2 linked regions of the Neurospora crassa OR74A genome follow. The protein of the gene in region 1 interacts with the protein of each later gene in a biochemical or structural test. Links are inferred from orthologs where the notes say so. Each region holds a gene or a part of one and is shown on either strand. Other genes may lie near its edges.

Region 1 (5,115 bases):
GTTCCTCGGGGAGTTTTTCAGTTGGGATGGTCGACTAGCGTCAGTTACAGCTTGGCTTTCTTGGGACATCAGTCCCGATTGAATGATCGTCAATGAGCTGGGTCCCCGGTACGGGTATATCCGTATATCCTCCGGGTCCAAAGTAGTGTAGAGGTTTGGGCAAACAAAAGTCACCGTCAAGTCAAGCGAAAAGAACTTGGACACGTAGACCAAGCCATCCGGACTTCCCAAACGCAACAAAGCTTTCTCATTCCAACTGGTATTTTGCTCTATATCCCCAATGCTTCGTTTCGAAAAACGTAAACAGAACCCTTGCTAAGGCTTTCCCCGCGCTCAAGCAAATAACCAATGCAAAGCCTACTTGATCCCTTTTACATTTTTGACTCGAGCGGTGCAGTTTTTTTGCTCAAATTCGCCGAGAACACCAACCTTCTTTTGGCCATTTAAGCAGAGGTATCGGTAATGAGCTTGGTGATCTTGCCAATAGCGATGGTTTGACCCTACAAAATGTGTTAGTCCAATTTCACGTCAAGCAACAGACAAGAAATAACATACCTGGTCACGGAGGGTGAAACGACCCATCTGGGGGTAGTCCTCGAACCGTTCAACGCAGACGGAGCCGGCACCACCGGTAACCTCGAGACGAGCAATGATGCTGTCGCCCTTCTTGGCGTGCGAAGGAGGAAGCTTGGACTTCCTGTTGGTGCCCTTCTGAAGCTTGTGGAGGAGAGCGGCGAAAGTAACCTCCTCGATGGCGGCGTGAACATGAAGCACGCAGTTGAAACCGGCAGTCAGAATGCTCTTGAGGTCAAGAATACGGATCTGAGCCTCGAAAGCGGTGACGTTGTGGACAAGACGCTTGGGCGAGCAAAGGACGAAACCGGGCATGATTTCTTCTTCTTCGATGCCACGGAGACGGAGACGGACTTGCTCACCGCACTGGGCAACGGGAACCTCATCTTCCGTCTCGCCGTAGACGGCCGAGATTTCAATCGACTGCTTGTTAGGCATCATGATCAAGCTCATACCCTTCTTGATCACACCGGCCTCGATCTTACCCTCGATCATGGTACCCATATCACGGTACTTGCCAGAAACAGCCATCATAAAGGGGGCGTTGACCTTGCGCTCGAGAGAGCTCATGTTGTCGAGGTACTCAAGCAGCGAGGGGCCATCATACCAGGGGCAAAGATCCTTGGGCACGCGGTCCTTGATACCCATGGTCTGCTGGGCAGCGACGGGCATGAAGAAGACATCCGTCTTCAGGTTGTAACCAGTACCCTTCAAGAACTGGGCAAGCTTGGTGGTGCACTCCTTGTAGCGCTCCTCGGACCAGTTGACGGTAGGGTCGTCCATCTTGTTGATGACAACGACGAGCTTGTTGACACCCTGGGTCTTGGCCAACATGGCGTGCTCACGGGTCTGACCGCCCTTCTCGAAACCGGTCTCGTACTCACCCTTACGGGCGGAGATGACGAGGATACCGACATCGGCCTGGGAAGCACCACCAATCATGTTGGGGACATAGGTCTTGTGGCCGGGGGCATCGAGAATGGAGTACTTGCGCTTGTCGGTCTCGAAGAAACCACGACCAACCTCGACGGTCTTGCCCTTGGCACGCTCCTCGTTGGTCAAGTCAAGAGCCCACGAGAGGTACCAAGTCTCACGACCCATATCCTTAGCCTCCCTCTTGTACTTGTCAAGTGTACGCTGGTCGACCATGCCGGTGACGTAGAGAATGGCACCACCGAGGGTAGACTTGCCGGCATCGACGTGACCGATGAAGATGATGTTCATGTGCTCCTTGCCGTAGATTTCCTTGAGGGTATCCTCGTCAACATCGGCGGACTGAATATCCTTCTCAACAGCATCGACGTCGCGCGAAACCTTGTTGCCGGACTTGGCGGCCGACGGGCTGGCACGGCCCGAAGAGGGAGCGGGCGAAGTCCTGCCGCTAGCAGCAGCAGACTCGGTCTTTTGCACAGCCTTGGTAGCAGTAACCTTGGCGGCGGCCTCAGCGGTACCCTCCTTCTTGGCAGCCTCCTTCTTGGGCTCCTCCTTGGCGGGAGCAGTGCCGGAGATGGAGAGAACCTTGGCCGCGGGCTTGGGCGCATCACCCCCGATGCTCAAAACCTTGGCAGGAGCATCGCCTCCAACGCTGAGAACCTTGACGGGAGCGGCAGCGGTCTTGGGGGCGTCGGCCTTTGGTTGCGCCTGGGCAGCGGGCTGCTCTGGCCTCTTGACGATCTGAGGGGCAGGCTTGGGCGCATCGCGGTTCTGCTGTTGCCTCTGCTGGTAGCCCTGGTTCTGCTGGTAACCACCGTATTGTTGTTGTTGTTGTTGTTGTTGTTGTTGGCCTGCTATCCACGTCTATCAGTTAGATTCCTCGATCAAAGACTGTACGAACAAGCGGCGGCCTACCGTAGCCCTGGTTATATCCCTGCTGGCCGTAAACAGCGCCATAGCCCTGCTGCTGCTGGTTGTTGTACTGTCCGTAGCCCTGCTGGCCGTACTGGGGGTAGCCACCGCCGTAGCCCTGCTGGGCGCCGCCGTAATATTGCTGCTGGTACTGGGGAGTGAAGCCGGGAGCGGCGAACTGGCCGGGGGTGAAGGAGGGGGCGCCGGGGGTGAAGGCAGCGGCACCGGGGCGGAAGGTACCAGCGTTGATGTTCATCTGTTGCTGGGTCTGGCGCGCCAGGCGCTCATCCTGGTCGGCAGCCTCCTCCCAGTTGTTCTGAACGTTTCCGGACATGTTGGATAGATAGCGGTCGCGTGTGATTCTCGAGAAGGTGCCGGTAGAAATGTGTCTGGTTTCGGGGTCTCGCTCGTGGGCTGGAGAGTGGTGATAATAAAGCTGATGGTCAGCAAAGATGAATCCCGACTCTGTCGGCTGGGTAGCGACGTGGGTGTGTATAAATAAGGTAGGTCCCTTGCGCGAGGAGGGAATCCTGAAGTCAGGAGATGGAGATGGATGATTTATACTAGAAGACAGAAATGATGGTAAGCTAATGCGACCACAGACAGCCCTATATCAACTGCCTCTATACACCGTAGGTACTTACCCTGACGACGACCTGTACTTGGTTGTAGTACTCTGAGTGACCAGTCCAGTCGGCGCGTCCAACTACGTAGCGAGCGAGGGAACAAGTCGAAGAGAGATTTGGATCAAGAAACCTAACGCTGGCAAGGGCTGTAGGGCCCCACCGTTGATTGGGGAGGGCGTGCAGTGAGTGGTGGCGGGGTACATGACAATTTTTTGTCCCGCTGTCTACTGTGTGCGCTAGGACGGAACTGCCGCCACACACTGTGCGACTCGGGGAGTCACTCGCCGAAGAAGTGCGCCCAAAGCCAGCATTCAGTGGAATGGGATCAGCAGGATCACAGTGCGAACCTCTGCAACAGACTAAACCCCTGGTCTCTCTTGGCACATGCACTGTCCCAGGCCGGGCCGTGAACCCAAAAGAGACCCGGACGAAAAGAAGCCTGGACCCGCCAACCAACGTCACTCTTGAGGACCTGAACGTCAAACGGACGGGACGAACACTAACAATTAGGCATCGCTTCGTTCAAGTTCACTTGCTGCCGGAGAGCATTACAGTAAGGTACCTCTACCTACCTGATTCCGTACATAAAACTATCAAATAGGACAGGAACTGAATATGATATACACCGTACCAATCAAATAACCATCCACACATTCTTAACTTGAGCAAATCATGGACGCACTGTTGGCCAAGCTCGGGTCTCATGCGGTCAACTACGCCATCAGATCAGGCATCGCAATCACTTCCACCTACGCCGTCAACCAGTGCTCGAGGCTGCTCAAGACGGTCGACGACAAAGGAGTGTACACCGAGCTCAAGAAGCTGCAGAAGCTTCTGGATAGTAAGATCAAGGTGAGTGGCCATTATTATTCCGAACCCAACAATGCTAAAGCCCCTTCCAACAAAGACATGACACCCCTTGCTAATACGAATATTCCCCACTTCAGATTGTTTCACCAGCTATCGACCTGATCGAGTTCAAGTATGCCCAACCTACCTCTCTTCTTACTACTTACCTTGTCCTTGGCCCTTACAAGAATGTGACTAACGCTGTGTCCAAGATCTGGCCGTGGCAATGTCTTCCTCGAGGCTGCTGTGCCTCTTGCCAAGTCTCTCCATCGAGACATCATTTCTCTCGGGAAGCGCCTAAACGATGCTGCTACTGCCGAAGAGAGCTCCCGCTCCGATGGCAAGAAAGCCCGCATGTCGGAAGCTCATCATATTGAGCTGCTAACCATTATCAAGGAGATGAAGGAACTACTGGCCCGCATAGACAGAGAGATCCCTCTGATCCAACTCGCCATCACGGCCTCGGGAGAGAGGATGAACACGACAGTGAACGCTGGCATCTCTCCGTCGAGACTGATGCAGGCGAGTGCCTTCTTGTCATTCGGGGACTCACACTTTGTGAACAACCCTAACCGAGCAGTCCCCATCGGGCCTTCTTTCACACTATCTCTTTACATGCTCTTCCGCGGCCATTCCAGGCTGAAAAGTGCCAGTTCCGTTCCTGCCACTCCTAGCACTGGAGGCAAGACATGGACCAGGGAGCCATCATATGGTGTTGGCGAAGGTGAACGGAAACCCATCTGGCAAGAGGTGGTGCACAAGGCTCGTGTACGGCTGGTTCGCACACCGCTAGGCTGGAAGTTTGACAAGACTCGCGGATACTGCCCCGGTGAGTCTTCTGATGGACCCGTAAACGCGTACTCTGCTGCCGTTGATTCGGCCCTTTCGATGCTTGGCCGCCCAGACGAGTATGCCTATCACTTGGAGATCATTGAAGATCTCGACGACGGACGTGTACACGATGATGATGCCGCAGGTGAGCCATTCGACGGCATCGATATGGCTGGAATCCGAGACTCCATTCCCATACATCAAGTTTCCAAGATTTTCTACACCGACACAGGGCGACTCCTGAACATCGGTAATGCTGAGGAGGGCGACAACAACCCGGTGTTATTACTGAAGAGAGACCTCCATGCCCCTAATCCGGTCCAGCTCAAACGCCAATGGTACGCCGATCCGGAGCAAGCAGAGGCATCAGAAGGAGAAACAGCATATGACA
Region 2 (4,217 bases), on another chromosome or scaffold:
CCGACTTGGCTCCACTGGTTGGATTTGGAGATCCGATTTCTTGCGATTCGCGATGAATTGATTATTCGACATGGACACTGTTGAAGGTGTATCATAAACCCATATAACAATCCGTACGACAATCGTGACTAGAGAATACAGACACAAATACAAACTAATGTACTATAGTAAGTTATTGCTACTGTGCCTGGACTAAGGTAAAAGGGAGGGGAATGGGAAGTAGAAAGGGAAGTGGAAAGATGCGAAAGTTGTACAACGGCAGCGAGGCACGAAAGGTACCATGAAGCACAAAGTCGGATCTTCCGGGTAGATGGGCGTCACCTGATTGAGGGATGTGCCGGGTAGATGGAGGATGGACTTTGTGCCTTTTCCGAGATCATGCTTGCTTCCTTTTAGAGATGGACAACAAAGGTTGGACCAAAGTTCATGTCTGGAACTGGCCCAATTTGTTACTAACAACTAAGTCTTCACATCCACACACCGATCTGGACTACTATCCACCATCATGAAACATATATAATAGAGCTTGGTCGACATAAACATCAACGCGAGATTACACAAACCTTCAATCGCGGATACATCTACCCACCCATGAAGCTTTGGATTGAGCAATGCGCTCCAATCAAACCTCGTGGAATCGGATCGCTTATTTGCCCCACCTTGTTTCCAGAGCACATGCCAATTCCCGTCCTGTTTGGAAATGACGTCGGTCGTTTTGGTAATAATCGGAGGTCCAGGCCGAGAAGCGGAGAGTCGCAGCAAAACACCAAAGCTGTGCATCACCATGTCAGAGATATACAGCATAACAATCAGAAGATAGGTTTGAAGTGAGTTTTCAAAAGACTGGGCTTGAATTTTCCGCTGTAAACAAGGATAACATCCATCATATAATCATGGCTCCCTCCTCCGCCGCCGCCCCTGACTCTTCCCCTTCACCACCCTCCTCCACCTCATCCTCATCCAAGTCATAAATTGGATACGTGAGGATCGCAGCAATACCGCCCAGCGCATCCAGCCGCTGCCCACTCTCGTGATCACTGCTCAACACTCTTGCCTCGCCTCCATCCTCCTTGACCTTGTCCACCAACGCCACAAACCTCTTCCTCGTCTTGATGTCCAGACTCCTGAAAAACTTGTTATTGATCAACAACACACCCCCTCCTCTCCCCACCGCACCCTCTTTCACCGCCCGCTCCACCGGCTTCGCACCATACCACGCCCTCCCATCATCCTTCCTCAGTCGATCGTACAACTGGTCCATCAACGCCGTCTCGCCCGTGAACCGCTTATCCCTCATTGTCGCCTGCACCTCCGGGCTCTTCAGCACCTCATTCAAGCTATGCACATACCCCGTACTGCTGTGCACAACCACCGCATCCTTCGCCATCCTCTGCAACTTTTTGTCTGTCCTCTTCTGTCCTTCGCTCTGCATATACCCCCTAAAATCCTGCGCCACAAACCCGGGACTCGCCAACAACAACGGCCGCGGCTGCGAGAAATCCACAGTGCGAAGCAGCGTCGCCAGCGTCTTTTCGTAAAAGCTCGTCATGCCGCCCTGGCTCGCCGACCCGCCCGCCCGCTTCTTGGGGATGTTGGCTTCCACCCGCTGCTTGACGACCGTCTGGAACTCGGTAATCAGACAGATATTCGCCAGCCCTTCCTGCATCACCACCGCGCACATGGCCTCGCCCGTGTCCTCCGCCACCGCCTCCTCCAGCATTTTGAGGGAAACCGAGTCCCACCCGCTGTGCTTCCATAGCTGAAAGGGCCGGTTGAGTTCCAGGTCCAAAGTGTGGTGCTGGCCTAAGCTGACGTATTGGTTCTCTTGGCAGACGGTGCCGGACACGTGGAGAGACGAGGCGGCTGGGTCGAAGAAGACGGATTGTACGCGGATAGTGAGGTCGGTGTGTACGCGGTCCGACGTCGTAGAGCCCGTCGAGCCCGTGGTGACGACTTTGCGGATGGCGTGCGCGCGCAAGAGGTCCGAGGGCGCGATCAGGTTGTGTGCGTGCCACATGTCTTCGGGCGTCGTGGGGAGGAGGGAGACGGGCGATTCGCCAGAGGGGTCGAGCGTCGAGAGGGAGTGTTTGGGGTTAGTGAAGCGCATCCTGGGCGGGGAAAAGTAGTCAATCGGCGATGTGTATAGTGTTGAGTAGGGTATGGGTAGGTCGAGAGGTAGGTCGACGACGAGGTAGATTGCGCGTTGGATCGGAGACCGCTAATAAAGGGTGTGTAGGTATCCTCCCGTAGTTAACTCGAGTACTTCTATCGGTGCTCGTCGTTTTGGTATTGTAGTTTCTCGCAATGTTGCGATTCGCAGTCGTGGTGGTGGTGCTGGTGGTGGTGGAATTGGTCAAGGTCAGTCGATTTGGAACTGAAAGATGACGAAGTGGAAAAAGCTGCTTGGCTTGGGCAGGGAAGTGCTGTGGGCTGAGTGTGGGGTACCCGACCTAATTGAGCACCACTGCTTTTTAGCGGGGTAATCCTGTGTTACAGTCCTGCTGGGCTCATCCAAGACAAAATAAATGAGACCAACCAGCAGGTTAGGTAGGTAGGTAAATCAGTCTACTACCGCTCGTCAAAAATAAAAAGAAGGCCGTTGCCAAACTATAAAAGGGATTATACCAGTTCGAAAAGAAATTGGCTCAAGTCCCATTTGGATATTTTTGTTAAGGGATTGCCTAGAACTCAAGACTAGAGGTGTTACAAAGACGCTTGGATGCGTAGTAGGTACCCAAGGTATAATATTACAGGTCCCAATGATTTTGTCCAGGACGAGCTAGGCATCTTGAAATGCCAGCAATGCTCTCGTGCCTAAAACTATCTTTATATCTGAGAATACAGAAAAGGAAGTTTGTGTTTTCAGCTATCATAAGAGTTAAGTGACCAGAAGCCTGTAGGTGGTGAAACATCAACTCCTCTGTTTACGGACATTAACTTGTTGGCTCGCAATCCGATCTTGTCGGAACCCGTTGTTAGCACTTTTGCTAGTAAATGCCCTACTAAACTGATAGCTTCTCAAGTTCCACCCCCTACAGCGACCAATGTTAACGTTTCCTACAGAGTTACCCCAGGACACTAACAAGGATACAACCAATGTATGTAGTTGTTCCTCGGCGGGCACTCTGTTTTCTTCCCTCTCACAAACTTGTCCTCAACTTCCCTCTTTCTTCTCCGCTTCCACCCAACGCAGCTCGACCCCACTCCGCTCTCACCAAGTTCATCATCCAGAACCCAGACCGGCCAAACGAGGCTAGACCTGAACAGATGACATGGTAGGGCCGTTCTTGGCCGTGACGGCTGGTAGAACTGGACTATCCATACATTATTCGATTTGTGTGACGACCATTCCCATGCAGCATCCGCCACATGTGATTCCACAACATCAACAGCTCAGATTTGACGCCTTCATGGCCCTGGCCCTCTCGTCACTTTCCGCTATCCGAACCCCAATTTTATCCTCAGCAAGTAGTCCATGTCGTTTCTCTTGCCCGTAGCATGTCTCGGCGTTGACGTCGACAATTACCCCATGCTCGCCTGCGCGCGCTCTTCCCTTCTCCCTCAGCGCTTCACAACTTACCCTATCTCAACCTTCCCTACGTACCATTACTGAGGAGTTCTCCAGGTATCACACTCGCGCTAAGGCTCCAGAAAGGGCATATTTACAGAAGTGCTGTTTGGGAGCTAGGGGGGGCTATGCCAGATACATGGTCTTTATCAGTTCCCAACTTCATCAAGATGGGTGCTAATGAACAGCGTGTTTCATCCTGTGGGCTTACGAACGACAGGACTAAAAGGATCGGAACCGAAATCCACGCCACATATTTCACACTACAAACTCTCGTAAATAAATGAAAAAAGGCCACCAGACTCGAACGGCGCGCCAGCCGGACGGGACATGAGAAGCTCCGCGGAGATAGCTGCGCAGGACCGAACCGGGTGGTGGCCGGTAACACGGACCACTCGGACAACGAAGGCGGCCGCTAAGCCTGTTTCGGAGTTTCTGTTAGCAAATCTGATGCCCGGGAGAGGGACTGGGAATGAAGCGACACTCACCTGTTTGCTCAGGTGAAAGGGAGCGAGAACAGATCGATTCAAGCCGCAGCGCTGTCTCGCGGTTAGCGCGTGGAAATTCATGGGTTTGGGATGTTTGAGTCACAGTGTCATTTTCATATGTTACCGGGCGTTTTTCGCGGCGCCGAATAAACGGGGAGGGA

Evidence for each region.
Region 2: the proteins of NCU04790 (region 1) and NCU09161 form a complex in vitro, tested with the Schizosaccharomyces pombe proteins (2 studies listed by BioGRID). The link is inferred for Neurospora crassa OR74A from reciprocal best matches to the Schizosaccharomyces pombe genes sup35 and dom34.

What each region holds. Positions count from the first base shown.
Region 1 is NC_026506.1:821,904-827,018, reverse strand, and holds the start of NCU04790 (eukaryotic peptide chain release factor GTP-binding subunit), read right to left. Parts: upstream 3,176-5,115; 5' UTR 3,063-3,175; intron 2,982-3,062; 5' UTR 2,753-2,981; coding exon 2,422-2,752; intron 2,361-2,421; coding exon 556-2,360; intron 501-555; coding exon 444-500; 3' UTR 1-443. Other genes in the region: NCU04789 (RanGTP-binding protein), read left to right, coding at 3,717-3,896, 3,992-4,026, 4,106-5,115. UniProt on the Schizosaccharomyces pombe protein: GTPase component of the eRF1-eRF3-GTP ternary complex, a ternary complex that mediates translation termination in response to the termination codons.
Region 2 is NC_026503.1:207,647-211,863, reverse strand, and holds NCU09161 (translation factor pelota), read right to left. Parts: upstream 2,418-4,217; 5' UTR 2,108-2,417; coding exon 884-2,107; 3' UTR 821-883; downstream 1-820. UniProt on the Schizosaccharomyces pombe protein: Component of the Dom34-Hbs1 complex, a complex that recognizes stalled ribosomes and triggers the No-Go Decay (NGD) pathway.